Astyanax mexicanus: one gene and its partners. Each later gene encodes a partner of the first gene's protein in a complex. Links are inferred from orthologs where the notes say so. Each region holds a gene or a part of one and is shown on either strand. Other genes may lie near its edges. The genes, in order: sf3a1, sf3a3, sf3b4 and sf3b3.

Region 1 (7,645 bases):
GTGGTGCTGTGTGTTGAGGGTTGAGCTCTGGAAAGGCCACAAGTATCCTTTCTCTCTGAGCAGCCTGCTGTAAATCCTCATTTAGCTGACACACACTCTTCTCCAGCTCACACACTCGCTCAATCTGCCTCTCTCTCTCCTCGGTCAGAGACTGGTACTGAGACTGCACAAAAACAGGAGGGTTTAAATGCACTGATCTGTGTAGTGGTAGTAATTCAGCTGCATTTTAGAATGCCATAATAGATTATAGTCAGCAATTTTATCATTATATTACATTAATTCTAAATAAACCAAAATAGTAAAATAAAACAGTGTGTCTCTCTCCTGCATGTGTGTGTGTGTAAGTACCTTTTGCTTTGTGATCTGTTCCTGCAGTGTGTCTCTCTCCTGTGTGGTGTGTGTGAGTGTGTGTGTCAGCTCTGTCCTTTCGTCTTCACACTCTTCCAAACGAGTCTGCAGATCCTCACACTGCTGCACTAACGCATCCACACGCTCCAGCAGAGCATGCTGCTTTACCTGCATTGCCTATATCACACACACAAACATATACGCACACATTTTATCATTATCATTTTATATATGTGTATGTGGACAAAGTATTGGAACATACACTCATTCATTATTGCTTCTGAAAATGAAGGTATTACATACTGTCCAGGGAAGGCTTTACGCTAGTTTGTGGAGCATTACTGTGAGTATTTGACAGCATTCAGCATCAAGAGTGTTAATGAGTTCAGGATGGACCTCATTTCCCTAACTCATCCCAAAAGTACTGGATGGAGCACCATTGTTGCAGAGATCTCGGTTTCTGTACTCCACAGCACAAAGCTGGAAGCTTTATAACCTTCTAGCTCATGCCTGGCACTAGGCACAGTGTCAAAAGCTTCATGCTTATCTGCTCCGGAGAGTCCTATTCTATTGGCAGTACTTGTCGACAGAGACTAGACCAACTGTGTGCATGCATGTGCACATTTGTGTCAGCAATAGATGCAAATTAAAGTACATGAATGTTGACAGGTGTCCACAAACATTTGAACATATATTATGTATACCGTGTATACAACTGCATTTGAGTTCTTACAGTTCAGCTCTTTTGGCAAGAACTGTGTTACTGATAATTACACACCTCATGCTGACGTTGTGCACTGCGGTATTTGGCGCTCTCCTTGTCCAGCAGTGTTTGAATGTTACTGAGCTCCGTCTCTAACTCTCTCCTGCTCTCCTGATACTCTCTCTTCCTCTCCTCTTCCTGCAGATGCAGACGGTGCACCTCCTCCACCAGAGAATCCCTCTCACACTCTGCACAGAGAAACGGGTTGTTAACACATGGCCACATACACACAACACGCACAACACATTTAAAAGTCCTTTTAGCGTCCTTCACCATACTCACACATTAAACTGGTGCTCGAAAAAATATCCAGACATCTGTTATACCAATGTCTACACTTATGGAAAACTATTACATTAGATCTTTAACATTGTTGTGAGGAGGATGTGATTGCATTACTCAATTGCAAAAGTGATAATGTCAGTGAAGTCAAGTACAGAAGTTATATGATTAATACTGCCTCTTAAAAGTATTGGATTGAGCTCTATCACTCCAGAAAAATTCTGGGGAGATTTATACTCCTTTAGCTCCCTCAGTGTTGGGCATCGTGACCTTAGGGTTATGTGCTTAAAGCTATTATGAAGTGCCAGGTTCTGTTGACCACTGCTTTTCTATGGAGGTTCTGTTGTGTCTGGATACTTTTGGACATGTAGAGAACGTATACATACAATGTGTGTTGCTGGGGTGTTACTGCTAGATTAAGAGAATGTCCACCACCCAAAAATATCTAGTTACAAGTGGCTCTGCATTTAGAAACTGATAAGGCCTGTACACACTGCTCACAGGTGTGCTACAGCCTCTTCAAAGGGTTTCTGATAAAGTGGACAGTAAGTTGTACTCATTGTTTGCTTACGGAGACACTGCTGTGTTTCTCTTTGCAGCTCCAGCTCTCTGCTCAGCTCTGATACTCTTATTTCTAAAGCTTTTGCTCCTAAAAAAAAAGAAAGAAAATTACCTGCAGGTTTTGGTTGTAAAATAGATAGATAACTAGATAGATATTTTATTGAAAAATGACTGTAATTTATTTAAAATTTAGTGCTCTGACCTCTCTTTATCTCCTCTTGCTCCTCCTGTAGCTTCCTCTGCATCACCTCTCCTCTGGTCTTCAGCTCCTGCAGCTGGCGCTCCCACTCCTCTTCCCTGCTCATCCTCTCCTCTCTTTCTCTCTCTGCTCTCTCCTTCTCTTGCTCCAGCTGAGCCCTCAGCTTCCCTCTCTGCTCTTCTGCTTTTTTCAGTTTGTTTCTAAGTGAATCCACTGTTTCTTTCACCTCCAATTCAAAACAAACTGGTCACATTAGTATTTGTATTAACTTTCGATTAAGTTTCGATTAAGATAAATGAAAATTATGAATATAAACAAACAGTTAAGTCTAAAATTATCTAATTTAGTTTTAACACTGAAGCTACAAGGCTAATGAAACATGTTATTTGCTCCAACTAGAAAATCATAAGACATTTCAGAGGTGTGTTATATAAATGGAAAATAACAGAAAAGCAAGAATAGTAATAGTAACACATTTTATCTGTTGAACTGTGATTACTGTGACCAACACCTGATCACCTCACCTCAGTAATGTGTTGTTCAATGCGCCCCATATCTTTACGCTGCTCACATGCCCACTGAGCCAAGTCACTTGCAGTGAGACGCCCCAGCTGCTCCGTGTCCTCCACAGCCATCAGCAGGTGCTGCAGGAAGGAGTTCACACCCAGAGCCCGGCACAGAGACAAGCACGCCTCTGCACTCTCCTTCAGACTGGACTGAACGCGGGCACAGGCTGTACACGGCACCAGTGCAGACTCCACTGTCTGAACGCTCACACTGCGGGACTCAGAGGCAGGGGCAGGGGGAGCTGTCCTGCTGGGGCTGGAGGAGGCTGGGCGTTGGTTCTGTAGTTTGGAGGCTGGGGTGCTCAGGGCACTTCTAGCAGTGGATGAAGTGATGTCAGTTTGTGAGATGCTGTGCTGAGGAGCAGATGGAGAACGCTGGCTGTTTTTACTAGTTGTTCTCTAAAATAAAGAAAAAGAAACTCTGCTCATATTTGACATAAAACATTTAAATCATAAAATCAGATTTGCCCCAATATTGGAAACAATAATACTTTGTAGTAATAAGCTTTAATAAATGCAAACTTAACTTAACAATATCTGATTATTTGTTACTTACTTGCAGTGCTGTCATTGTTGTTACATAATTATACTTTGAATTCCCTTTAATTCCCTTTTAACCATAAAAAGCTCATTGATAACTTTTTATGAGTTAGTTATTATTAAGTAATTTTAATGTAATTAATAATGACATTATTTTAAATTATTATAAAAAAAATATATTAAACTGCGTATTACCACATGAAGTCAGCATGTTAGTTGGACCTGATGCACTATGTTAACAGTATATACACATTTCATATGTTACCCCTTGTTGCTGCTGGCTGCTAAGCCGGACGAGGTTGGTCCAATAGCGTTTCACCACTGGCCCGATGGACACCCCTTGCCCAGTTTTGCCAGAATGGCCTCTCTGATCTCCCATCATCATCTCTGTGTAGATGTTAAAACTCTGCAGCAGTAGCATCAGTCTGTAACAGACAAGTAAACACACACTTCTTAGACTTATTAAAACTTTTTAACACTTATTAAAAAGCTCAATAACATGGCATATTATAACATTCTGATTATGTGTTAGTGTGTTCAGCTTGGGTTGATTGCTTGTGATCATCCATCTTTCTTATGATTATATTCCAGAGATTTTCAATTTGGTAAAATCATCATTGGGAAATTTTAAGTGGTCTCTCTTTTTTTTCCAGAGGTGTATTTTAAATGATTGGCACAATAACACAAATCTAAGTGTACTCTATTTTAATTGAAATACCCACTAGCAAATAAATAGTGTAAAAAACGAAAAGGTGTGATTCATCACAAATTTCTATTGTTTTTCTTTTATTGATTATCTTCTTTTATTGAAATCACTAATTAATATAAATTGCATTATTTGATTTGCATTTTAAAAATGCATTACTGTCAGACGCCCACCTACCTGTCAATCACCAGCTCCAGCAAGACGATGTGTGAGTGCTGGTTGAACTCAGGCTCTCCCTCAGTATAGTCATATTCCTGCAGGAGCTGCACCAGGTCCACATTACACGATACCTTATCGGGGAATTTCCACGATGGAACGCGGACCGGCCCGGTTCGAGAAAACACGTCCAGAACCGCCGCCTGCAGGTCGATAACGTCCCTGCGGAGACTCTCCACGCAGTCCTGGCGTCCTAACAGATGCGTCATCCTCCCATTCAGCTTTCTGAAAGCGCAGAAACACTTTAAACTTCTTTATTTTTCAACAATACTGTGTGCTTCCTCTGTTTCCTCCGTCACCGTGGCTACCTGTAGTCCTAACGCCACTCTAAGAAACTACACTTCCCATAGTGACCCGCAGTCCGTGTCCCGGATGTGATCGTGTTTTTCTGCAGGCCGCCTACCCCGGTTTGATGGCGGAGTGCGCACGTTAATTATCGAAGGTTTTTTTGTTTTTAAACTCAATAAATGAGTGTTTCAGCTGAACAAAAGAGATCTGTGTGGTAAACAGGGTGGTATTGAGGACGGAAGGTTGTGTGTGAGTGTGATTTTCTCTAATCCCAGCCCAGTTTGAAGAGGCAGCCATGCCGCCTGTTCAGATCAGCCAGCCCGAGCCCAACAACAAGGTGAGCCAACAGCGACTTTACTGTTTGTATAGTGATTTTCCCATTAATTCCTTCATAGTTCTTTCGTTAGGTATTAATGTGTGTGAAAAGTAGTGCTTTGCCAGCTAACGTTAAGTCTAACTGTTTAGCTATCTAGGTTAATTAACGCTATAGACTTTAAGACTAACTTAGCTTTTACTTCGTTAGACAACTGTCTCATTTTTTATTGTGTTAAGTTTGAATTTGCTAATAAATAAAGTAATAATTATTGTTTATTTCTGTGTTTGGCTGCAGTTTGCTTTTAAATCTAAAAACAAGCGCAGAGAAATACTATTAAAGGCATAATATATGTTTATGTACTAACAGCTGACGTTGGTTTAGCTTTTCTAGCTAAGCATTTTAGCTATGTTAGCTAAACTAGCTAGCTAACGAACTAGTTTAGTCGGGACCAGGTAAAAAGCGGAATCCGGCGAAAACAGTGGATACGTTAGCTATTTAATGGGTATTTCGAGCTCTCTATTAGAGTAGTCACAAAATCAATGAAAGAGTTGTGTTTTACACGTTAGCTAATCATCTTATGTAGCGTTAACTTAGTTAAGTAACTAACAAGATTGGTACACCACGTTATTGCAGGATTCTACATTTGAATTGAATTGAATTGAAATGAATTGAAAATGTTTCTACTGTCAAGAGTATGTAGAATATAAAACGTTAATGCTTTGATTAGTATTGGATTTATAGTGTTAAGCCAAGAATTTAAATTATTAAACTGAATGACAATTCCCCTGGTTTTCCAGTTGAACAGATAAAACATTTAACATTTCGGTGTTTTAAAGTTTTAAAACGGGCTATACTGCAGTATACGTGCACCATGACTTTTTTTTAGGGTGTTCTATGTTACATAACCCGTCCTGTATAAACGATTCCACACCCAGGACCGATTGTGGGCTTGTCTGGGTGACGAGGACAATTTTTTTCCCAAGCTGTGGATCGATGTGCAATTCCAATTGTCCTTTTCTGATATTTATATAAACATAAACCATTCCAACACCTTTCTCTCTCTCTCTCTCTCTCTCTCTCTCTCTCTCTCTCTGTCTCATTCTCTATATAAATAATAATTTTTTTTCTTCTGTTTTGCAGGGCGATGAACAGAAAGATGAGACGCCGGCAACTAAGCCCATTGTGGGAATCATTTACCCACCACCTGAAGTCCGAAATATCGTTGACAAGACTGCGAGCTTCGTAGCCAGGTCTGGTGCACTGTCTGTTTCATATTATCTGATGTATTGTGCCATGGTTTTCACTTTACTTAATGCTTAAAATTTAAAGCCACTGAATCGGACAAGTTATTAAACAGATATGAGCCTTTTCCACACTGTACAGAGGTGCGACTACAAAGTATAATGAAAGGTTAACTTAACAAACACTTTTTGTGTAATATATGTATGCAGGTAAATTCTTCACAACATTGCTTGTACCTTACTGAACCCATGTCATCCACAGGAACGGCCCAGAGTTTGAAGCAAGGATTCGGCAGAATGAGATCAACAACCCAAAGTTTAATTTTCTCAACCCTAATGATCCTTACCATGCTTACTACCGCCACAAAGTTAATGAGTTCAAAGAAGGAAAAGGCCAGGAGCCATCGGCGGCGGTGCCTAAGGTTATGCAGCAACAGTCCCTGCAGCAATCCCAACAGCAGCTTCCACAGAAGGTAAGTTTCCAGCATCTGAATGTAGAGTATCCAATACTTTTCCTGTATTTATTTGTCTATAAAATCTTTATAACATGTAAAATTTTGTTTGTTCCAGTGTTGTAATTTTCCCTATTTGTCAATATTTCTTCAGGTCCAAGCCCAGGTGATCCATGAGACAATTGTGCCGAAGGAGCCTCCTCCAGAGTTTGAGTTCATCGCTGATCCTCCCTCCATCTCAGCCTTTGACCTAGATGTTGTGAAGCTGACAGCTCAGTTTGTCGCCCGCAATGGCCGTCAGTTTCTCACACAGCTGATGCAGAAAGAACAGAGGAACTACCAGTTTGACTTTTTGAGGCCTCAGCACAGCCTCTTCAACTATTTCACCAAACTGGTGGAACAGTACACAAAGGTAGATTGATGAGACCATCTGTAATAACTCTAAGTTTTCAAATGGTTGTAAGTTTTGTTGTAACTTTTAAAAATGTTCTAAATGAATGAATTTTGTTTGTGTATTGTTTAATTGTGAAGTGTTTTGTGCTCACTCTGAGGTTTGTGTGTGTTTTTTTTTTTTAAATAAAGGTTTTGATTCCTCCAAAAGGACTTCTGCAGAAACTCAAAAGGGAGGCTGAGAATCCACGGGAGGTTCTGGATCAGGTAAGACTTATTCATTCCATAAAATCTAATCTCCGATAAACAAGATGTCACAATACATATTGTGTAGAGGCAAGAAAAAAATGGTATTCAGGAGTTATTTTTGAAGAATAATGATATTTTAATGACACACTGTTTATTTCTGTTTAAATTGTTGTTCTTGCACATAGAGTACACCATGAAGGCCTTACTGATTTATAATATTTGCTTCTGTTGTTTCAGGTGCGGTACAGGGTGGAATGGGCCAAGTTCCAGGAGCGAGAAAGGAAGAAAGAGGAAGAGGAGAGAGAGAGAGAGCGTGTGGCTTATGCTCAGATTGACTGGCATGACTTTGTTGTTGTGGAGACAGTTGACTTCCAGCCCAATGAGCAAGGTAAATGTGTCCAGATTAAGTGAATAAACTAGATTAACTGAAGCAGTTTCAGGTACACTGTATGTACTGTAAATAAGACATTTTACAGTCAGTTAACTGTAGCAGTGTACACAGAAAATGCAAATGTCAAAGGATAGGAA
Region 2 (8,161 bases), on another chromosome or scaffold:
CAAAGTGCTGCAGCTCACTGTGGCTTAAGCAGAACCTCATATAGTATTCAGTTTAAGAAATGATTAGGCTGTTAGAGATCAGGATCTGTCACGATCTGTGTTTTATTGGATGATACCAATCACATCATTTCATCATTTCAGCACAATCAGTCCAGTCAGATTTCAACTCTGATAAAGGGGAAAGGACAGGATGTCTTTATTATCATTCCAGGCAAAATTAGTGATGTATCGTTCATTGTAAGGGCTTCTGTAATACTCTCAGTACTAAGCTTGGAGTGATGAACTCTCAAGAGTAGTATCCAGTTAAAATGTTAAAATGTTAAAAGTCTTTACTCTGCTTCACAAGAAGACATGTTAGTTGTACACATTCTACAAATAAGTGCTCGGACAACAAGGGAAAATATTAGGACCATTAAAGTTGACGCATGCAATCAGTACAACACAACACACAAAATCAATGTGTAAAACACAGTCTGTGCAGCTTAAAGTGTCTGGGTTACTTTCTTGCGTAAAGTAAGTTTCCACCTTTATCCTTCCCTTTTAAAATATGACTGGATCTGTTCTTAGGATTGACTTGCTATTAGCGCACTGGTTTTGCTGTATCTGTGGAGTATATTGACATTCGTCAGTAGATTTTAAGTTTGTATTTTTATATTTTGATGCTATATTAAATTATCAATAACTGGTTGTTTTTCTAAAGGATTGATCTGATTCTGTTCATCGTCTCTGAGTGAAACCATTTAACCTACTACAGTGTTTTGTGATAAAGTTCAGGGTTTATTCAGTATAATTCAGCACTAGAGGTAATGAGTGCTGCTCTCTGAATGCTGCTGGTGGTGAGCTGGAGTGTATTTTGTAATTCAGAACCAGGCTGCTCACTGATCCTGGAGCTGAACGCAGTGTTCCAACATCTACGTGCAAAGCCTTCCCAGAACTCAGAGTCTGTTACTGCTGCAAACGGGGCCAAACTCCTTTTTAATGCCCTTGATTTCAGAAAAAGAGGGAGTGAGCACATGTCTTCACACTATTGCACTAGTATTACAATACTATAACACAATGGTGCCTCCTTTCATGTTTTCCTCTCAGGGGAGCTGTTCAGAAAAGGGGGTTTGGGGGAGAAGCATCGTTTCATTCAAGGCAGAAATTTCCACAGAGGACATTATCGATTCTGGTTATCACATCACACCACTGTAATGCGGCGTCACCCGTAACAGCTTTGTTTGGGTTCTCTGGGGAAATGCTAAAATCCCCTGGAAATGACAAGATAGCAAAAAGGAATCATTGTTCATTTGTTCATTTTTCCATCTCTAATTCATTTAAACAAAGCTGATCTCACGTCTGTATTGATTTATTTTTGCGCACATCAGTTTTAAGCTGATACAGCATTGTTTCAACATTGTTTTAACATTATCGTTTTACTATATGTACTGTTTATAATAAACAGCATTTGCTTAAATCAAGTATGTTTGTATTATATAGTTCTTACAGCCTAAACTGTGCTCTTATATTGTAAAAAAAAGATGACATTTGAGGAGAGAACCTTTTGTCTAAAAGCATAATGGATTCAGAGAACCAACCATTGAAAGCCTTTAACTAAATAAACATTGGTTCAATGTCAGTTTTTTTTTTCAAGATGCCTGTGAGGTAATGTTCGATAAAGGTTGTTTTAAGGTTGTTTTTCCACCAAACGTGGAAAACATTAAAAAAATATAAAAACATGATGAAAGAAAACAATGTCTGTCTGATGTTATTTGCTGTCAGGCTTCAGCTCATGGCAATACTGTGAGTGTATAAAGTCTGGAACATTGTTAAGTGAACGTTGATTCAACGTCAGAATGTCAGCATTAACCGATGCCTGTGAGGCAATGACGAATAAAGGTTGTTTCAATGTAGTTTTTCTTCATTAAACTTTAAAATGATGTAATGATGATGTAATGTGACCAAAGAAAACAACGTTTGTTCAACGTTCTTTGCTGTCAGGGTTCAGCTCGTGGTTATACTGTGTGTGTAAACAGAAAGGAATCCATGACCAGTGTGAAATCCTGTGTCGCAGGGGACAAAACTCTCACACACACACACACACACACACACACACAATATAAAAACTATACACACACCTTCTCCCCGACATGTGGGTGTGATCGAATCTTCCTGATATCTTTTGTTGTGTGTTTATGTTTATGTGTTTTATGTGTGTGTGTTTGTGTGTGTGTGTGTATTTGTTATTATGTGTTTATGGATCTGTGTCGGTTGTTTAGCTGAACTCCGCTAACAGCTCTTCAGCCCCGCGGGTCTCCGGTACGCGGCCCGCCCCGCGGATTAAACACAACCCGCGGCTCACCTCACCGGATACAACCGGGAGCCACCTCGACCACCGGGGCCGGTCACCGCCGCTTTCTGCCGCCAACACCGATAACACGCAGATAATGTGTGGTTTTTGTTAGCTAATGCTAACCTAACTAACACACCTAACTCCGCGGACACCGAGCCGCAGCCGAACACCAGCGGCGTAGTTTCGCTATTTAACGGCCATAAAACCACAACAACCGCCCGCAGCCCTCCCCCACCGAGTCCCGCGGCTCCAACACCGAGCCCCGCGGCTCCCCCTCCACAGCCAGCCCAAACCCGCTCACCTGTCCGCCGCGCAGGGGCTGAGAGAGACGCGCTGGAGGGTCGGGCCGGGTCGGGCTGGGTTTTTCCGCGCGGAGAGACACTGAAGCTCGGCGGCGCTGCGCTCTCTGTCCCGCTCTCCTTCTCCTCCCACTACCGCTACTGCTGATCACCGACACACAACCGAGCGCGCGGTGAGACAGTGTGTGTGTGAGAGAGAGAGAGAGGGAGAGAGAGAGAGAGGGAGAGAGAGAGAGAGAGAGAGAGAGAGAGAGAGAGAGAGAGAGAGAGAGTGTGCGTGTGTGTAAGAGAAAGAAAGAGAGAGAAAGAATAAGAGAAAGAGAAGAGCTATAAAGAGAGAGAGAGAGATTAAGAAAAATGGAGATATATAAATAGAGAGATAAAGAGAGAGGGATATATAACGAGAGAGAGATAAAGAGAGAGAAATAGGGTAACATAAACAAAGAAAGATAAAGAGAGAGAGAAAAAAAGAAAGAGGGTGATATAAAAAGAGAGAGAAGGAAAGAAAGAGAAAAAGAGAAAGAGGGTGATATAAAGAGAGAGAAGGAAGGAAAGAGAAAACGAGAAAGAGGGTGATATAAAGAGAGAGAAGGAAATAAAGAGAAAAAGAGAAAGATAAAGTTGTTATTTTTTTAATTAATCATTTAGTCATGCCAATGAAGCTTCTTTGAATTGAATTGAATTAAAGAGAAATTAAGAGATATAAAGAGAGAGTGAGATAAGATAAATAAAGAGAATATTTTCACTAGTTTATCTATAGTTTATGGTCACAGCTCGATGTTAACCCAGATCCTGAAGCTGGAGTATTTCCAGTTGGTCTGTTCAGTTTATTTTATTAGTGTTTGAAATGTAAACTATTATAAGGCAGACAGGTTTTAACAGCTGAGCCTCCCCTTAAATCTGATCTGTTTTCCTATCTTTTCCTAATATCCTGCTCTTCCTCCTGGGATTTGTTGCAACATGTTGAAAAGTGCTTAACTGAGCGAAGTGCCTTCCTCCCTCTGTGATCTTTCTCACTCAGGAATTATGGGATTATTCTGCTTTCAGGTGGTTCTGTTTTTATCAGAAAAATGAGATTCACACCAGCAAGCTCTCAACATGAAAACTAGCAGTATTTAAATGCTTTTGAGATAACATTTAAAACTGACTTTGGTTCTGATTGGTTGTCCTGTATTGTGCCTACCTGTATAAAAAAGTTATTAAAAGTCCAAATAAAATTTTCTTTTATTAGTTTAGTGTGTTGGGCCAAACCACCATAGGTTGAGCATTTTCCCACACATTAGTGTTAGCTTGTGCTGAATGGCAAAACACTTAACTGAGAGAAGCACAAAAGTCATTATTTGAAAGTAATTACATCCCCCTCATCTGCTGACTTGCCGGACAGTAGGTACAGATCCCTCCCTCAGACGAAGTCTGCTGGCTAATACTGCGGTGTTCTGTCTGAGGTTCTCAACCAGCAGACCGAAATGGCATTTCTTTAACTGATCCAGTGGGCGGGGTTCTGGTGGGGGTTGATGGGTGAGGGGTGGAACCAGGGTGGTTTTATGCAGGTTTGGGAGGCTTTCAAACGGCTCATAAAAGGATATGAATTTTGCTCAAAAAAGATTGAACTAATTATTTTCCGCATATTATATCTTTAATCGTTCAATAGATTCAAAAGTTATACATGCAATTTTATGTATTTGTGGTATGTGTTCTAATTTAACTAAAGTGTCATCTCAAACCTTTCATACATGTGTTTATTTCCAGTCTCAGGCTGTTTGAAGGCCAAGCATGAAAAAATATAAAGTGGGAGTGGCTAAATGTAAAAACAAAAACAGATAGGATATGAGAAAGCTTTCCAACATTGTGTCATCATTGACAACAGTTTACCAGGTCTTGTACACACACAGTTTATCTCACTATCACGGGCAGCTAGAGGGCACCACATCACACTTCATCATGTTACTTCAGCTGTAAGAGAACCGTATCCAGCACTGCATCCAATTTACTCTACTATAAAGGGCAAAATTTAATGTATGCACAAAAATATAACGGATTGAAATCTAAAAAAAGGTTTTAAATTTTTCTTATTCAACGGTTCTGTAAAATACTTTGCTGCTTTCTTATAGTCCTTTCCTGCATTGAGGGTATTAATTAGTTGGTAAAAACCTATCTACAGATAAACACATATCACTGTATACTATACATAATATTTATAACAAATATGTGAGAAATATGGATTAGAATCTATCAGATAAAAAAGGCAGTGTAATGAAAAATAAAACAATGTGCAAGAGGTACAGATATCAGCAGACAATGAGAATGTTTATTACTGAATAAACATGGGCATATATAGGTATTTAGTACTTTTGTGTTGTGTTTTTGCGGCGCGGCGGAGGCGGAACGTTTCGGTCGGTTTACCGGCGGGAGTGAGTGAGCGGCGGACCGGGACCGGGGGTCGTGTCGTTACACGCGCGTCCGCTAGTTTAGCCGGTTTCAGTAGCAGCGCTGCGCTCAGTCCGGTAACAGCCCACAGTCCGCCGGTAAATCCCGGGATTCGGGCGATTTATTTAATCATGGAGACGATTTTAGAGCAGCAGCGCCGCTACCATGAGGAGCTGGAGCGACTGATGGACGCTAAAACTAAGGAGATGCTGCACAAGAAAACCACGGTAATTACAGCTAACCGGCTATCTGTGCTAACGGTGCTAATGCTAATCCTCTGTGTGTTTGAATGGAGAAGAGTAGCTACTTGCTAATTAGCTCCAGCTAACCTAGCCTTAGCATGCTAACAGAGCTCACTCAGGAGATGTCTGTGTAAAATAAAGTATATTTCAGTGTAAAATCTGATCAACTGAGGAAAATAAACAGCACTAGTTTGGATATTTAACTTTTATAGACATTTGAATTCTATATGTTTAACGTAATTGTCGTTAGTTTGTAGTTTTTTTGGTGCTAGCTAAGCGAAGCTAGCAAAATATCCATCTATCGTTAGTTAGCTTAGTGTAGCTTTATAAACACATCAGTTATTGTTCTGATTCAAGAATTTATTAAGATTTAGGATTCAAGATTTTTATTGTCAAGTCACAGAGAACATGTGTACAGGCAAAGAACAATATTTACAACAGAGTAGAATAATAAAACAAAAGTAAAATATACTGTAAACTTAAACTTGTTTATCTGTTTATTTATTCATCTCTTTCAGTTGCGTGACCAGATTAATTCCGACCATCGAATACGAGCAATGCTGGACGTAAGTTTCTTTTACTTCTGTATTATTAAAACCTATGCCTACATTTATTTATATCATTTATTTATATCTATATGCATGTCTGCTCTTGTTTTCTTTACACACAGAGACATATGGAAGTAAGCGGAAACCTGAGAGACTCCTACGATGATAAAGATGGGTAAGAACTGCTTGTTTTTCTCTGACTGCAGTTTATTTCACTGATACTAAACAGTGTTGTTCATCATAACTTGTAATTACGTCTTGTTAGTATGCGGAAGGAAGAGCTGAGCGCGATATCTGGACCAAATGAGTTTGCTGAATTCTATAACCGACTGAAACAGATCAAGGAATTTCACAGGAAACATCCTAATGAGGTACTGCAGTCTATCTTTTAAATTTAAATAAAATTACATGATTGCTGTACATTATCTTAGGGTGTGAATTACAGTTTAAAACCTTTTTACACATTTCTTTAATTTCACAGATTTGTGTGCCCATGTCGGTGGAGTTTGAGGAGCTGGTGAAGGCCAGAGATAACCCCAGTGAGGAAGCTCAAAGTAAGTAAATATTAACATTGCTTCTGTAAAACTTGCTGTGTTTATATTTATTACTCTAAATCACAGTAACTATTCTGACAGTACAAAGGATATAGTCAATATTTCTGCATTAGTAACTACATGAGTCATAAAGACACATTTAAAACACACAGAGAGTGTGTACTTTAAAGAATGAATAAAGAAAATGAATAAGAAGTCGCACTGTACCTCTGTAAACCATTAAGAAACATTATTATATATTTATGTATGTATGGGCGCATGTATCCTTTAACCAGCCCGAATCACGGCTTATGTTTTAACATCACTGTGTTTCTGTGTTGTGCAGATCTGGTGGAGTTCACTGATGAAGAAGGCTACGGACGCTATTTAGATCTTCATGACTGTTATTTGAAATACATCAACCTGAAAGGAGCTGAGGTATGATTTTCACTTTTTCTGTTTTTAACAGATATATATTATCTGTTTGTTTGCTAATGTGATGTTTTCCTCTGTTCCTGTTTTAGAAATTGGAGTATATCTCCTACTTGTCTTCGTTTGATCAGCTTTTTGACATCTCCAAAGATAGAAAGAATGCAGAGTACAAAAAGTAAGTCGAATTTCACATGGGAACATTGTGACCATATGTTGTGTCGTATATTACAGTGTTTATTTTATTTAATAGATTATAGATGGCTATTATTACATTGAACAATACTAATAAATGTTTATATGTGTATGTGTATTTATTTTATATACTGTATACAGTGGATGTCTTTAAATTTAAGACCATTTCTACCTGTAAGCAGTGGAGGTATCCTGTACTGAGCTTGTTTTGTGTTGGTCAGGTATCTGGAGATGCTGCTGGAGTACCTGCAGGATTACACAGACCGGGTGAAGCCTCTGCTGGATCAGAATGAGCTGTATGGAAAAGTTCTGGTTGAGTTTGAGAAGAAGTGGGAGAACGGAACCTTCCCGGGCTGGCCGGTGGGTTTATTTTTATAATGTGTTTGTTATAATAAAAAAAGTTTAATTCCACAGTAATTTAAGGTTAAAATTAAATTAACCCGAAACACAACAACATCTCATCATGAGTTTACAGCGTTACAGCAAATATTATCTGCTATTATTTGGGATTCTTATTTTTGGCGAAACAGACAGTTCAGAACCAGCAGGTCTCCTGTTCTGAGATCAGAGCGCTGATAAACAGCTGCAGATTGAATAATTACTACTGAATTAAACACAGATTTTTAGAGCAGACACGCCCACTCTAACCTCAACTGACCAATCAGCTTCTTTAAACAAAAAATATATATGTATATATATTTTTTTCTTTATCCATATCGCCCAGTCCTATACCAAATCATAAAAGAACATGTCAGATTTTGTCAAAGGAAAATGAGATAAAATGATTGAATGAGTTAGTGGAGTGAATAGATGCAGTACTGAGTAATGCTATGCTATGAAGCCGGAAGCCCAGTGAACCAGTTTGTGTAAATGTAAAGGAATAAGATTATATAGTTAGTTGTTTATTTGCGTCTCTGTGTGAAACAGAAAGAAGCGAGCAGCGCTCTGACCCACGCTGGAGCTCATCTGGACCTCTCTGCTTTCTCCTCCTGGGAGGTAAGACTTTCCATCAGGAACGCACACAGCTTTAATAGCTTTAATAGTTCATTGCCCCCTGAGGACTTTCATGAAGTGATCTTTAATGTTATCGCCCAGGATTAAACCAAAACGTTAAAGTACCAACTATTATTACCTATACAGGATCTAATACAGGTTA
Region 3 (7,935 bases), on another chromosome or scaffold:
ACATTGCTTTATTTTTAATAAAGTGTTTATTCAGAATAAATCTTAAACAATGAATGGTTATACAGTGTTTGTATTAAATTTGAACAACTATGCTCCAGACTCAAATGGTACATTATATTGCTATTGAGCCAAGTGTACAATTTGCAAGTACATAGTCATTTCTACAAAAGCTAACTGCAGACTGTCTAAATAGCTAGCCCATCATCTGAACATCTGCCCGCTTGTTATTCAACATAAATTAGCCTGTATTTGCACACTAATTAACTTTACATTTTAGCACCTGTGGGATTTTTAGAACACAATATAAATGCAATTCACAATACATTTAATACCATCAAAGGTATTAGCATACTATCTTTGTCAAGGGTGATTTTAAACCTTTAGTCTAATTTTTTAATCTGGAGTACTTTGAATGTAATTGGTTATGGTTATGGTTGTATATTTAATTATTAAACAATTTTGAATGAGTGCAGAGAGATATATTTTTACTTTACAGCAGCTACATATGATGCTAATTACATTATTCACTCTAAACTAGTCAAAACCTTCATATTAAGCAGTACTAGATAACCCCACCTGTTAGAACCTGAAGGAAGGCATTTTCCACATTGGTTGATTCGAGTGCTGACGTCTCCATAAACAGCAGGTCTTTACTCTCTGCATTAAAAGAAACACCTCAAATTAGTCTACAATTATTTCCTGTCATATAAGTACTTCACAAATCTGATATATGTTAGTACTTAGTACTGTGATTTTTTTTATGTCCACTATGAATTATTCTGCATCTTTAATAAACAATTTATTATTCACTATAAATGATCTTCTATGATTTATTCACTATCCACTATGAATTATTATTGCAATAATATGTATTACATTGAATATTTATAATAGATTACAAATTATCCAGTATCCAAAGTGAAGTATTCAGCATCTACTATAAATTATGTAGTGCCCTTTATTAATTGTTCAGTATTATTTAGTAAATAACATGAAATGTTAAATATGTTAAATACAGATCTGGAAAAAATAAGAGATCACTTCAGTTTCTAAATCAGTTTCTCTGATTGTGCTATTTATAGGTTTATGTTTGAGTAAAATGAACATTGTTGTTTTATTCTATAAACTAAGGATTCATGCATCTTAGCATGTTCTCCTCCACCAGTCTTACACACTGCTTTTTGATAACTTTATGCCACTCCTGGTGCAAAAATTCAAGCAGTTCAGTTTGGTTTGATGGCTTGTGATCATCCATATTCTCTTGATTATATTACAGAGATTTTCAATTTGGTAAAATCTAAAAAAAATCATAATTTTTAAGGGGTCTCTTATTTTTTCCAGAGCTGTACATCACTATTGTATAGCTCTGAAAAAACCTTGTATCTCTCACAGACACTTTGTAAAAAAGGGAACTGTGCAATATCTATATTTCCTCTATTGCAAATACATGTATATACGCAATCAAAATAGCTATGCTTTGTTTTCTATAGAACTGAGAGTTTATTCACCTGCAAAACTTTTAGCTTCTTCTGTTGGAATGGTGCGCTGCATATCCAGGTCACTCTTGTTGCCCACCAGCATGACCACCATGTGTGGATCTGCATGGTCATATAGTTCCTTTAGCCATCGCTCTACATACTCGTATGTGAGGTGCTTGGTAATGTCGTAAACCAGGAGTGCCCCCACTGCTCCCCTGTAATACCTATACATACAAAATATTACAGCTTTACACCTACGCTAAAGCATGTGGTGCTGGAGCAGAAATAAATAAAGTGTCTTGCTTGTGAGACCACAATAGATTACTACCAAAGAGCCTGTTCAGATCTTAATTCCAGGTAACTAAATCATAGTGTAAAGTTATTTAGTCTTATGATGCATTATGATAGAGAAAACGTACAACTAAAGACCCAGTGGTAGATTACTACCTATAGTACCTATAGTGTCACTGCTGTAAAACTATGTTAGACTACTGTGCAACATGTTAGATTACCAAAGACCTGGTGTTATTACTGAGAAATAACATGTTAGATTACTGAGAACCTATAGTTATTGCTGTAAACCTACGGTATATTACTAAGAACCTAGAGTTGGATTACTGGAGATAAAATGTTACATGTTAAATTACTGAGGACCTAGTGTTTTGGAGATCTAGATTATTACTGAGTTTTAATGTCAGTCCCTTTATAGCCTAATGTAGGTTAAATTGTTATTAATGCCAGGACAGCAAGTACAAATATATAAATGGTATTTACGTAAAAAAAGATTGTGTAGACTTTATTGTGTAGTGTTTATACTCTTTATGAATACATGTTTGCAAGTGTGTATTTTTTGGGTAATATACTGACAAACTGTCAGGAATTATTTGCAAATGAAATGTTTACAGTCATTATATCACAAGCAATATTGCAATGCTGGGCATTCAATCTAGATAAAGAGATAAATGAATGAATGAATGAATGAATAATGTTATTATGTTATAAGAGTTTGGACCTGTTGGCATGTTTGCAGTTAGTTAGTTACATTTTTAGTTAATAAAACATATTTTTTGTACACACAGTTTGCTTCAGAGATTGCTTAGACAGTCCAATTTATTTATTTTCTAAGATTGAGAGGAAATGTGCCTTTTGTGACCGTTGTGTACTTACGCTGATGTGATGGCCCGGTACCGCTCCAGCCCAGCTGTGTCCCAAATCTGTGCTTTGATGGTCACTGTGTCCAGCTGAATAGTACGCGTACTGAATTCCACTCCAATGGTGGTGCGACTGTCATGATTAAACTCATTTTTGGTGAATCTGGACAGCAGATTGCTCTTTCCCACCCCAGATTCCCCAATTAACACCACTAAAGAGTGAGAGAGAGAAAGAAGAAATTAATTATAAAAACAATATTTATGGATAATCACAATTGCAATTTCTTTAAACTGAAAAGTGTTCAAATGTAGCATTTATTTTAAAGACAATAAAAGAAAATCCAAAAGAGGAAAACCCCATCCCTTAGGTAATAATAGTAAACTAAACATAAACCCAAAATAAACTAACAAAACAAATCTTTAAACTAAAAGCAGTGATGCAGTTCTGGATAAAATATTTAGAGTTCAAGCTCAGAATCAGCTGTCTTACCTTTAAAAACAAAGTTGTAGCCTAAATCTGTCCCCATTTGTACTATTCACAGTAAACTAATGTTAGTTATCAGTGCCTGTAAATGTATAGAATCTCCAGGCTGGTTAAACCATCAGTTTTCTGGTCACAGGTTATATTCCATACTAGCAGTGGCTTCCTTGAGTTCCAAAACTTAGATAGTGGAGCAGCTGGAGAAACAGGTTAAACCAGCCGCCACACAATGTCTATGGGAGTGACAAAATCACATCCATTCAGCCCTTGCTCTGTTTTTATCAGTACATGTAGGTGTGTCCTCAGACTGTATAATTACCCACTGAAAAGTTAGAGGTACACTAGGTTCATCACAATATTGAACATAAATATTAATTGTATAATGTAATTCACCACAGGTTGATGCACATGCAAATCTAGATGTTTCTATAAACTGCATTGCAGTCTACAGAGAAGTGAGAACTATTTATTTATTTTGTGTAGATTTTTTTTAGCCAAGGGGGCTAAGGTTGTAATAGAGGGCTCTAGAGGTAAGTTGTGAATTATGAAACTGACATAAAATTAAAAACAATTCTATAAAGAGACACTTTTGACCAAAGTTGGCATTTGGTAAAAAAAAAAATATCTGTCCACTAATAAAAGGTTCAGATCAAGCTAAGATACAAGCAATAGTATTTGCAATCACAGGTCAAATGTGAATTTGTTCTTATTTTTTTATTACCTTGAAGGCTGATTTTTTTTTTTTTGAGTGTGTCTTTCGAAAAAAAAAAAAAAACTTTGACAGTGCAGTTGCTCAGTTAAAAGCATGGTTACTATTACTGTCACATGCTCTTTGGATGTGGACTGCTTTAGCACTGGATCTAATGAGGGTGTAAGAAAAATCTTTAGGGCAGGTTTGGCCTCTAAACTGCTGCCATTTACTCTGGCTATGTAATCTCAGTGTTTACTGTGTGTGTTTGCTTGGTAGTGTGTATGAGTGTGTTTACTGATTGTTATATATAAAGGCCACATTCCCAGACTTCCCAAGTTGCAAAAATTTATTTCAGGAAGGTACCCCCGGACCTGGACTTGGAACATATACATATATAGTCGTATTTACTCACCTCAACATGCCTATCATTTAGTCCCCTGTGGGCAATGCTAATGCATTCCATCTGTGTTACAGTTTCATTTACACAGGCAAAATACTAATTTAATAAACTTTGATTTAAGTAAAAGTAACTATATTTAGCCCTTTGAACCAAAGCTTGAGACATCAAAAAAAATGAAATATATATATATATATATATATATATATATATATATATATATATATATATATATATATATATATATATATATATATAACTGTATATAAACAAATATATGTGTCTTTTTTATTATAATAAAAATGCTGTATTTTTTCCTAGCAGGCAATATAATAATATAATTAGCTGCTTAAAAAGAAATAATTTTACGAAATGGCAGATTTTACTAATGTGCATTGTGTATAATAAAATATAAACTTAATTCTCACTGTTTGCAGCAGCCATGTTTATTGCAGCACTGTAAAAATATTATATTTATTAAAGCTTTTGTTTACTAAAATTTATTTTTGTGTATGTCTGTCAGAAAGTCCTGTTCGTGTGGTGAAACTATTTATTGTAATTATATTTAGTAAATTATTTTAAAACGATGAACATCTATAAAGTAAAAGGACTTTTAAACGTGTTAGCAGCGGAAGAGGATCACCCGCAAACTTCCGTTTTTCCGCCAGCGCGTCGTTCATCATGGCGGCGGGTCCGATATCAGAAAGAAACCAGGGTAAGAAAATGAATAAAAAACTCTTACTGATGTTAGAGATCTTATTAAATATCGGTCTGAATGTGTTTTAATAGATACAGGACACGCGTTCTTTACTGACTGCTGGGTTCTGTCTCTGAGTGATGATCACACTCTCGGAGCTCGTGCTCTTTATGTCACAGTGCAGCTCTTTACTCACTCTTAAACAGACTAACGTTAACCAGGTAAAGTTGTATACTGTAAAGTATACTGATGAGAATGGAAATAAAAATAAATAGAAATGGAAATGTGTAACTCTGTGGTTATATAGCCATACGGGTTCTGGTTTATTTTATTAACCGCTAGATCTGCTGGATGGTTCTCGGGAAAGCTTAGCAGTTCATTCATTGATTCTTCGCTAAAGCTAGCTAATGCTAACGCTGTGTTTTGTTTCCGTGCAAACTATTTAACGTTAGTTAAATATTTAACTTAGCAAACAAATGATCAGATTTTTTTGGGTTATTTGATTTGTCTCTTCAGTGCATTACTTTAAAATAGAACTTCTGAAAGAAGCCAGTTTAAGCTCATAGTTACAATCCATTCATTAATGTAAATAATATATTTTTTCTAAACAAGTGGTTTTCCTGTTTTTTGTTGTCATAGATGCTACGGTATATGTAGGCGGTCTGGATGAAAAGGTTTCGGAGCCGCTGTTGTGGGAACTCTTCCTGCAAGCTGGACCAGTGGTCAACACACACATGCCCAAAGACAGAGTCACAGGGCAACATCAGGGTGAGTACAGCACTCTGACACACAGCTTGTGGGTTGCACAAAAAATGTCAAACACTACACCAGACTGATGCGTGGCTGCCAAAAAATTGATTATGTAGTAAATAATTAGTGGTAGGTGGTATTTTAATCACTCCCAAAAGAAATTGCTGCTTAACAGGGCACAGTAAGCAGCAAACAGACTAGGTTTTTCTTTTACGAATTGTATTACTGCCATATTGTCTATATATGTTTTACAGCTGTAGAAGTAATTCACCCAAGTGTCAGCACATTAATTTAATTATATGGTTGTCTTTTGGGAAAGTTGTACTTGAACATTACAATTTAACTACATTAAAAAGCATGTTTATTGCTTCAAGTCAAAATATATTCTTTACAAAGACAGTGACATATTAACCATGTATTGCATTATTATAATGATTTATGTGCATTTTTATAATTATTAATTATATTAGTATATGAGTGTATTGCAGTGAGTGATTTAAGGAGCTCCACACTGCTCCACTCCAAAATGCTTAATGCTGGTGCATTCTCATTGTCTTATTCATTATTCTCTCTCTTTTTTTTTTTTTTTTTTTTTGCTTTGTGCCTAATAAATTATAAAATATCTGCATTCCTATTATTGTGAACTTCTTTCACAACCATCCCAAACTGAAAGGCATCTGTCCAAAACTTGAATGTATTTGTGTAATTTTCTACAGCCATGTCATCAGTTGTTTGAAATTTATTAACAGTACGCCTCTCCTGGTGTTACCAACAAGCTGATTGGTTCTATGTTGAAAGGTGTGACTTTATCTATAAATCTGTTCTAAGCTTTAGGAAAACTTCCAGTCATATTTCAACCAGCAAGTGGTCTCCCGATTAACTGTTTATAACCATTTATAAAGTGCAAACATTTGCTCTCCTGAATAATTTTTAGTGCCATCCTGTGCACTATTTTTTGGAAGGTGTTGTTCTGGAGCTAATATTCATGTGTGGTCTAACCACACATTTAACCTGCATATGCAAATGATGTCAAACTTGTTCATTTACATGTTCTGTGATATATTCAATAGGTTATGGCTTTGTGGAGTTCCTCAGTGAGGAAGATGCTGATTATGCCATAAAGATCATGAACATGATCAAGCTGTATGGTAAACCAATACGAGTCAACAAAGCTTCAGCACACAACAAGAACTTAGACGTGGGTGCCAACATCTTCATCGGGAACTTGGACCCCGAAATCGACGAGAAGCTGCTTTATGATACTTTCAGTGCTTTCGGCGTCATCCTTCAGACACCCAAGATTATGCGTGACCCGGACACAGGCAACTCCAAGGGTTACGCTTTTATCAACTTTGCCAGTTTTGATGCCTCTGATGCTGCAATTGAAGCCATGAATGGCCAGTACCTCTGTAATCGACCCATCACAGTCTCTTACGCCTTTAAGAAGGATTCCAAAGGTGAGAGGCACGGCTCAGCAGCCGAGCGTCTCCTGGCTGCACAGAACCCTCTCTCGCAGGCTGATAGGCCACATCAGCTGTTTGCAGATGCCCCGCCCCCTCCCACTGCACCTACGCCTGTAATGACCACACTGGGAGCAGCCATTCCCATTCCAGGTCAGTTATTACTTGGATTTCTAATATATATTTTTCTTAATTTATGAACAAATGAGTTATGTGATACAAATTGCAGCACTGCACCTTGGGTTCGGTGTAATGGGTATAAAAGGTATGGAGGGTGGGGATGGTAGGGCAAGAATGAGAAAATGGGAAATAGAGATATCGGTGGGAGTGGGTGTGTATGGATTGATGTTTGACTTATCAGTAGAAATTCTGTAAAGGATTTCAGTGGAAAAAAAAATAATAATAATAATTCTGATCTGATCCTGTAACATCTTTATGTTAAGCACACACCTGCACTGATACAGGGATGTTGTGGGGATTAAAAACCTTATGAAAGTAGATCTGATTGTTTGTTCTCTTTCTCTAACTCCTTATTTAACTCATGCAGGCATGCCTCCTCCTGGCGCATTCCCCCCTGTGCCACCCCCAGGCTCAATGCCACCTGGAATGCCCCCTGGCATGCCCATGCCCCTTGCTCCAGGGACACCTTCCCCTCAGGGCGGTGCTACAGGACCTCCCCCAGGACCACCGCCCTTCCCACCTGCTGGAATGCACCCTCCAGGTAAAAGCACCATTTATAAACTTTGCTTTACTAGGCGAGACTTTTATTCAACTACTCGCGTTTTTATTTTAGGATGTATATGTTTCTGTTCACTGCTGTGTTTGAAATC
Region 4 (7,899 bases), on another chromosome or scaffold:
GCAAGAAAATAAGTGGTGAAGAGTGTTATAAAAAATGCATGTTTTATTAAATGTTGTATTATATTATTATGTATTAAATTCATTTTATTTTATACAATTATATGCAATGTAAGTATCTTATGTGGTTATGACAATAAAGCAATAAAGAAGCAATAAAGAAATAAAAGAATTGAGAAGTAAAAAAAAGAAAATGCAAGTAAGAAAAAGAAAGAGAGAAAGAGAGAGAGAGAGAGAGAGAGAGAGAGAGAGAGAGAGAGAGAGAGAGAGAGAGAGAGAAAGACCTCCACTTTCAGCAGCAGCAGCAGCACCATGCAAATCTCCACTATCCTGTGCTGCAGCCCCGCTGTCTCTTAGCAACGCTGGCACACCGGCGGGAGTTCAGGGCCCGAGACCCCCACATAAATTACACAGGGGGGATACAAAGAGCAGAGGATAGAGTGGGCTTCATGCAGCAGCACTGCAGACAGCCTGGACACAGCAACCCTCTGATAATGACCATATCAGTGATCATGAAGAAGAATATCAGGCATGTCAGGAACATCTTCCTCAGGTTCATCCTCTGAATCAGCGCATTTATACACACAGCACTCACACAGAGAGAAAGAGGGGGTCAGTTTATGAGAATCCGGTCCCTTACCTTCGTGTCTGGGATGCAAAACTCTTCTTCTCCTCCTTCTTCTCGTTTCTTCAAACACAGCTTTGAGCTGCTGCTGGGCTCAGCCTGGAAATCACAGCCCCTGCTCCTCCTCCTCTCCCATCAGTCCTGAATCGCTCCAGTCCTCCAGTCTGAAGCGGCAGATAAAGAAAGACTCAGCTGCTGCCATATGAATAATAATATTCTTCACATGGATCCTCAGCTGGTAGGCGAGGTTTCATGTCCAGCCTGGTCCTGCTCGCCCTGTCCAGATGTGATGGGAATGTGCTGTCCTGTCTGTTTTGCAGCTCTGACAAGCTAAGGCTAAGTGTGTGTATGTGTATATGTGTGTATATATGTGTGTGTCGGCCTCTAGCTAATTCAACGTGGAGAAAATAGTCCCTGAATCTCTCAGACAGCACTGCTTTCACAGCACCCCCGAAAAAGATACCCTCAGCCTGCATTCCCCAAACTTACCGAGGGGGCTGCTGGGAAATGTAGTTCTGAGCCACTCACTGCACCACCAATGTTGACGAACTCTCTATTAAATCAAAAGCCGATTCAATATAATGCGCCCTGAAATAGCTTTAATTTTACAATTCGAGAGCAATGTAACTCAGAAGTGTTTTTCATACCAAACCAGCGCGGAGGCATACACTGTTTTGAAACGACAAATCCCATAATGCCCTACGAACAACGGAGGGTCTTCATTGAAGACCACTGAGCTCTGTGATAGGGCACTGATTTGTCTCACGACGCGGTTTTCAGCGTGTCATTGCACGCATTCACGTTTACACGCATTTAGACACATTTAGAATGCAACACAATTACCTGTAAGCTGGCAAAAGAAGGCAAAAGTGTTGTAAAGGTAAAGATTGTGGGAAACTGGGAATTCCTCACATCTATCTCCTTTTGGACAGGCTTGAGTTAGAGCTCCAGGGTTTCGCCAGCTAACTGAATAAAGAGAGCACGCTGGCTATTCAGGACATAGCGAGCAGATTGATTACAGCGGGCTAATAGCTCTGAATGTAAAAACTGAATCTGCTTTTTCGTTGTTCTGGACATGTTTTGATAGAAAAAATCGCCTCATAGTCGTGTAACTGGTAACATAATCAGCACAGCTCATTTTCCACTGTGGGCTGGACAGGCCGAGGCTAGCCTAAACTGATTTCTCGGTCGCTTGATTTCCATCACCCTCCTCCAATCTCCACATTGAAATTCCATTAAACAGCAGGGAGAGTTTACATATGCAATGGCGCCATCGCGTGGACGAGGGTCTCCTGTTCTATAACTATTTTTATTGGGTAACCTCATACTATATGTGAGTACATCTATGGTCTATGGTTAATTTTGAATAATAAATGAAGTAAGAACATAGAAAACAAGAACTATAATTAACTATGACAATACAACTGTATTAAAGGCATAGTATTGTAGGGCAATTAACCACAGCATTACGCAGATAAAACTCTGATTTAAAAAAATATCCCAGAATTTAAAAAGATGACCATTGAGTCAAAGTTTAGAATTTAAAATATATTAAAGTTTACTGTAAAAAATAGTTTCAGAGTTTCAGCATTACAGATATAAAGAATAAACATAGATAAATAGGTACATTAGAAAAGAGTAAAAGTACATCAACGAGTCAACACATAGTATAATTATATCTCAATAGGTCAGCACATTCATAACCCAGAGAAAGAAGGAAAAAAGGAAAGAGAAAGCCAGGCGAGGGAGTGAAGACCCTTGGGCGTCTCCTCCCCTAACCCAACACAGACTTCATCCAAGCAGTTATACGTGTTTGCAAATTGCATGTTAATCAATAGGGTCCAATAAAATTGGATAGAATCTATCAATATCCCTACGTCAGCAGTGTCCAGTTAACAGCTTGTTTTCCAGTTCCTATGACATGATCAGTTCCAGCCTGTCTGGGCAACACGTTCTTATCATGGTGTTGCTCAGCTTTGTGTTGTCTCCTAGTTTATATACACTGGTCTCAGAACAGCAGTGAAGCTTCTCTGCCACTCAGGGTCATGTTCTCCTCACAGCTCTCATTGTTGATGAAAACACTCTGACCTGATTCCTGGAAAAGTACAAACAACCTCCAGAGCCTTGTCTCATTGTGACAGTTAAAAAGAGAGCAAAGTTTATAAAGCAAATTTATTAAGTAAACAATAAAATAATATATGTATATATACATGTATAAAACATTTAAGAATAAGAGTGTGAATGTGTGGTCACACCTTTCAGTTTGTATAATATTTATAGTCTTTTTTTGTGTTTGAATTCTGAGGTAAATGGCTTTTCATCTTATATAATTTACTAAACCATTTCAATAGGAACAAACTAAAGGGTATGAAACAATGTCCCTTCAAAAGAGAGACCATTCAGTTTTTCCATTATTGTTTTTTTGATGGTTCAGAAAAAATAATTCTCAGTTGGAGAGCTAGATGGATCAAGTTTAAGTAACGGCATGCAGTGGTTCATATTCTCATTTAGCATTAAAGTTACAAGTGAAATTTTAATTAAAAAAAACTAGTCAATTTTATTATGAGTTACAGCATAAGTATAATATAAATCCATTATTTAAACCATGCATATACTAGCACTTATTTTGGTGTGTTAAGTGTTCACACATTCAAAAGTCTGCCATGCTCACAGCCAGCCTAAAAAAGTAAAAAAAAAAAATCTATTTATTCTATTATTCTATAAGGTATAAGTAAAACTGTGTAATTTAACAAAATGAACAGCATCAAATTAGATGTTGGGACAGTATGGAAAATGCCATGTTCTCTCATTTACTTTTTATTTTAGCATGACAATATGACAAGCAGTATGAACCCAATATATTTAATGTTTTATCTGGTCACCTTTATTTCATTTCTATATACATCCATTCCTGCATTTCATGCCTAGGAAGAAGAAACCTTATTTAATAATGTGATTTAAAACAGGTGATGTGAACAGATCATATGTGTAAAAATAATTGAAATGTTTGAAAATTATTTTTAATAAAGCCTAAGCTGAAGGCTAATTCACAAATGCCCCATATAATTATACTGTGCTACACAGAAAACTTATGTTATTAGGCACATTTATTTAATCTTTCAAAAAATATGAGTAATTTCCATATTTTACAGGTAAAAAATGAAAGGGCTCAATGCACTCTGCATGGTCAGTAGTAACACTTATTTTTCTCACAGTACCACAGCTTGTTAACACATTTGCAGTGTTTAGATGATTTGACCCATGTTTGCACAGTAAACCACAGTAACAAACAACAAGTACAGGAATGAAACATGTAGTGAGCAATGTTAGCAATGGTATGAAGCAGGGTGTAATTAGTATACAAAGATAAACAGGACAAGCTATGGACTAAGAAAAAAGACTCAGCTTTTTGGTGAGAAATTGCTACTAGTACTCTCAGTGTTCAGTGATCTGTGGGAACTGCTGAAGGAGAGAGGTTTTAAAAAAGGGTTGTGTCAATGGGGAGAAGAAACTGAATTAATTTCCAAATTTGGACACACCTTCTCATTTAAAGTTTTTCTTTACTTCTTTATTTAATTTATTTTCTACATTGTAGAGTAACATTAAATCTATCAAACGAATTAAGGGACACATATGGAATTGCGTAGTAAACAAAAAAAAGTATAAAACATATTCTGGTTTGTTTCACATGTTTTGTTTACAACAAAATCCTGTATAGCGTATGTCTTAAATATTACATTTACAATGTAAAGAATAATTTAAAAACAAAAATATATATTTAAAGAGAAAAGGTGTGTCCAAGCCTTTGACTGATACTTTATATGTGGCTAATTGTTTTATTAATTAATTTATTATTTTTTAAGGATTTTTAAAGCATTTTTTGTCTTTTAAATAAATCTGAAATATGAATTTTGTAAGGCTTGTAGCGGGCTGGACTTTTCAGCAGGCAAATGGCAGGGCGACTATGACACAGGGCTAACAGCAGGAAGGACCCCCGTCGTTCGAGCGGCGTTTGAACACAAAACGCCGAACGAACAAAAAGTTTCTCATCGGGTGAAAATCTGCACCATCCTGCCTGCTGAAACGGTAAAACCCTGGCATACACCGCCAGCGCCAGTTAAACGGCGATATTATAGCCATATATGTGTCATGATGCGGTTTAATATCAAGTTATCTCAGAATTCTGCGTTAGCTTCACTTGCTAGCAGAGGCTGAGCGGGTAACCGGGGTTTCAGGCTGTTATTAACAGCGCGGAGTTTAATAATACTGCAGTATAAAGACACGTTAACCTAATATACGTGCAGTTTTTACGTGTTGTGGGTATTTTATGGGTAAAGTATATACATTTAGTTTAATAAACCAACATTCTGACTAGCGGCTAAGCGAGCTAACCCATTCATTTGAGGTGGTTTAGCTAGCTAATGCTAGCAAGCTTGTAGTTTACATAGATAACTAGCTAGCCAGCTGTGCCCCTAGTAACAGTAGGTTAGCTACTTTTAGTTTATTTTTTTTAAACCTGATCAATTAGGCACGTTAGGTAGATTACATCTGGAGAAAAACAAGACTTTATTAGCTTTCAAAATTTCTCTGTTTGCAGCCCAGAACGTGTGCACTGCTTTCTTCTGTTGATCTCACATGAGGCCTCTTTCTGGGTTTCAGGTGCAGCAGTAACTTTCTTCATCCAAGCCTGAGGGGGCCCAGAGACATCCACCATGTTTCTGTACAACCTGACATTACAACGTGCCACTGGCATCACTCATGCCATCCATGGGAACTTTTCAGGTATACGGTCTTCGTTTTTCCATGTTAAATATGTGATTTGTAATGTTTAACTCTAGAGGTGTAGCCCTGCCCCCACAGGCTTGCATTGTGGGCACTAGACCTGATGGGTGTCTCTCTCTTACCTTAATGTGCACCTCACTCTGGAAAAGGGGGAAATCTGGATTCATCAGACCACATGGCCTTTTTCTGTTGCTCCAGAGTCTTTGCCAGTTAACCTCACTGATGAGTGGTTACACAGTTTAATCCTAATCCCTTGAGTTTCCTTCACATTGTGCATGTAGAAATGCTCTTACTTTCACTAATAAACATATCCCTGAGTTCTAGTAAATATTTAATGGGAGGCACTTACCATTTGCTTATTAAAAAAAAGACTGTACTGGTATGTTAAGATGTTGATCTTATTAATTGAGAGAGTTTGAGACCCCCATTTCTGTCTTTTTTTTTTTTTTTGTTTTTATTGATTTTTAGGTTTTTAAAACTTCTTTTAAAGCAAACATTTTTTTTTTAAATGTACCAAGAATTTGAAAAATGGGAAGTTTCTATATAATTACATTTAGCAATGGTAAAAAAAAAAAAAACTAAGGAACTTTTTCAAACTACTAGGGGTACATATTTTATAATTGGAAATAAATGCCCTTTATCAAATAAATAACCTTTAAATCCTTAATTTAATGTAACTGTTCACCTGTAGTTTAGTTTAATAGTTTCTCCAGAAGGGGGTGGAAGTAGCACTGTTAGCTTAAGCAAATCCACATCAAACACTTTGCTTGCAATTAACTGTATGACGTTCTTTGTCTCTAGGTACGAAACTGCAAGAGATTGTGGTTTCCCGGGGAAAGATTCTAGAGCTGCTGCGTCCTGATGCCAACACAGGCAAGGTTCACACATTGCTCACCATGGAGGTGTTTGGCATCGTCCGCTCCCTCATGGCCTTCAGGCTCACTGGTGGCACGAAAGGTTAGTGTGAATGTTGAAACTGAGTTAGTTTGTTTACAGTTCAATATAATTTTGGGTAAACCAGCCGTAAGATCTTGTTAAAGTTGCTTGCGAAACTAAATGTAAAATTACTGATCAGGTAAATTGCTGATGTGTGGTTTATTCAATGTAATAAAAAAAAATGGTTTGTTTATTGGACTGTGTCTCTTAATTTTAAGACTACATCGTGGTGGGAAGTGACTCGGGACGTATTGTTATCCTGGAGTACCATCCTTCAAAGAACATGTTTGAAAAGGTGCACCAGGAGACTTTTGGCAAGAGCGGATGTAGACGCATCGTTCCCGGGCAATTCCTGGCTGTGGACCCTAAAGGCAGAGCTGTAATGATAGGTAAAATTCTGGTTCTTTGCTAAGTGTTTTATATTTAAGGTGGTTGTTTTATCTGTCTTGGGTTTGAAGAAGCCCTGTGGCATTGTTAGTATGTACACTAACAGCTAGTCTAACACTGCACTTTTGATGCACTTTGATATAAGCTCAAACTAAGGGATAAAGGCCACAACACTGTCTTAAACATGCTTTTTAAATGTGATTGGAAAATACAATGCTACAGAAAGTGTGGATTGCAAGTACCTTGTAAATTTATGTATTTCAGGCTCACTTAAGATATCACTCCTGATTCACATGTTATTATCTGTGAGCAGTTTAATTGTGTGAAACAAAACATTGAGGATAGAAGGATTCCACTTAAGTTTAGATTTGTGCAAAGTTTGACTTATATTAATGTATAGATTATGTGCTGCAATTTTGATTTCATAACTATTTACACTTCAAGGTCATTGCATTGTGAATCACCATTTCTCTTTACGAGCAGTGAATGGAATGTTCATGCGTCTGAGTTGTATTGTTTATCATCCCCACAGGTGCCATAGAGAAGCAGAAGTTGGTGTATATCTTGAACAGAGATGCTGCAGCTCGTCTCACCATCTCCTCTCCGTTGGAAGCACACAAGGCCAACACCCTGGTCTACCATGTGGTTGGGGTGGATGTGGGCTTTGAGAACCCCATGTTTGCCTGCCTTGAGATGGACTATGAGGTAAGATGACTACTACTACTTGAGGACTTAACTTTTTGTGGTGTGATTCTCTTCACGCTTCTGTTTTTGAGGACTTGTTAATGTACGCACTGGCGTAGGAATAAAGATCACCTGTATGTGTGTTTTCAAAGGTAGATCTGTGGTGTTTTATTGAAATGATGAGTTTGTTCATGTCTCTTCTCTGACCAATTACTGGAGAGAATGTAAAAAAAACCTCTGATCACTGAAAGTACACAGTATTGTCAACTGCATAAAACATGAAGCGTTCTTCTCATTACTGTTTTGTACTGCACCCTTGTCTTGTTTAGGAAGCTGATAATGACCCCACAGGAGAGGCAGCAGCCAACACACAGCAGACTCTGACCTTCTATGAGCTTGACCTGGGACTCAACCATGTTGTGCGCAAGTACAGTGAGGCTCTAGAAGAACATGGCAACTTCCTCATCACAGGTAATTCATGATATGAC

Evidence for each region.
Region 2: the proteins of sf3a1 (region 1) and sf3a3 are in contact, whole or in part, in an NMR structure (PDB 2DT7), measured with the Homo sapiens proteins. The link is inferred for Astyanax mexicanus from reciprocal best matches to the Homo sapiens genes SF3A1 and SF3A3. Residues at the interface, in NP_005868.1 of Homo sapiens: Ala161, Phe162, Asp165, Val166, Leu169, Thr170, Phe173, Asn177, Phe181, Gln184, Leu185, Lys188, Phe195; in NP_006793.1 of Homo sapiens: Glu80, Phe81, Glu83, Phe84, Tyr85, Arg87, Leu88, Ile91, Lys92, His95.
Region 3: sf3a1 (region 1) and sf3b4 share a complex: the UniProt entries of both Homo sapiens proteins name them as parts of the 17S U2 SnRNP complex. The link is inferred for Astyanax mexicanus from reciprocal best matches to the Homo sapiens genes SF3A1 and SF3B4.
Region 4: sf3a1 (region 1) and sf3b3 share a complex: the UniProt entries of both Homo sapiens proteins name them as parts of the 17S U2 SnRNP complex. The link is inferred for Astyanax mexicanus from reciprocal best matches to the Homo sapiens genes SF3A1 and SF3B3.

What each region holds. Positions count from the first base shown.
Region 1 is NC_064419.1:31,893,229-31,900,873, forward strand, and holds the start of sf3a1 (splicing factor 3A subunit 1), read left to right. Parts: upstream 1-4,540; 5' UTR 4,541-4,764; coding exon 4,765-4,806; intron 4,807-5,925; coding exon 5,926-6,035; intron 6,036-6,288; coding exon 6,289-6,499; intron 6,500-6,632; coding exon 6,633-6,890; intron 6,891-7,060; coding exon 7,061-7,135; intron 7,136-7,354; coding exon 7,355-7,505; intron 7,506-7,645. Other genes in the region: ccdc157 (coiled-coil domain-containing protein 157), read right to left, coding at 1-163, 349-525, 1,127-1,299, 1,965-2,042, 2,157-2,379, 2,678-3,118, 3,525-3,684, 4,143-4,390. UniProt on the Homo sapiens protein: Component of the 17S U2 SnRNP complex of the spliceosome, a large ribonucleoprotein complex that removes introns from transcribed pre-mRNAs.
Region 2 is NC_064410.1:278,949-287,109, reverse strand, and holds the start of sf3a3 (splicing factor 3A subunit 3), read left to right. Parts: upstream 1-5,061; 5' UTR 5,062-5,189; coding exon 5,190-5,285; intron 5,286-5,818; coding exon 5,819-5,866; intron 5,867-5,970; coding exon 5,971-6,023; intron 6,024-6,113; coding exon 6,114-6,219; intron 6,220-6,329; coding exon 6,330-6,402; intron 6,403-6,727; coding exon 6,728-6,819; intron 6,820-6,905; coding exon 6,906-6,988; intron 6,989-7,226; coding exon 7,227-7,365; intron 7,366-7,932; coding exon 7,933-8,001; intron 8,002-8,161. UniProt on the Homo sapiens protein: Component of the 17S U2 SnRNP complex of the spliceosome, a large ribonucleoprotein complex that removes introns from transcribed pre-mRNAs.
Region 3 is NC_064410.1:32,706,380-32,714,314, forward strand, and holds the start of sf3b4 (splicing factor 3B subunit 4), read left to right. Parts: upstream 1-4,814; 5' UTR 4,815-4,879; coding exon 4,880-4,913; intron 4,914-5,534; coding exon 5,535-5,663; intron 5,664-6,715; coding exon 6,716-7,258; intron 7,259-7,652; coding exon 7,653-7,826; intron 7,827-7,935. Other genes in the region: rab25a (ras-related protein Rab-25a), read right to left, coding at 577-657, 1,509-1,702, 2,646-2,841, 3,120-3,156. UniProt on the Homo sapiens protein: Component of the 17S U2 SnRNP complex of the spliceosome, a large ribonucleoprotein complex that removes introns from transcribed pre-mRNAs.
Region 4 is NC_064416.1:23,362,852-23,370,750, reverse strand, and holds the start of sf3b3 (splicing factor 3B subunit 3), read left to right. Parts: upstream 1-4,584; 5' UTR 4,585-4,708; intron 4,709-5,281; 5' UTR 5,282-5,334; coding exon 5,335-5,404; intron 5,405-6,205; coding exon 6,206-6,361; intron 6,362-6,558; coding exon 6,559-6,729; intron 6,730-7,259; coding exon 7,260-7,432; intron 7,433-7,578; exon of another isoform or gene 7,579-7,660; intron 7,661-7,740; coding exon 7,741-7,882; intron 7,883-7,899. UniProt on the Homo sapiens protein: Component of the 17S U2 SnRNP complex of the spliceosome, a large ribonucleoprotein complex that removes introns from transcribed pre-mRNAs.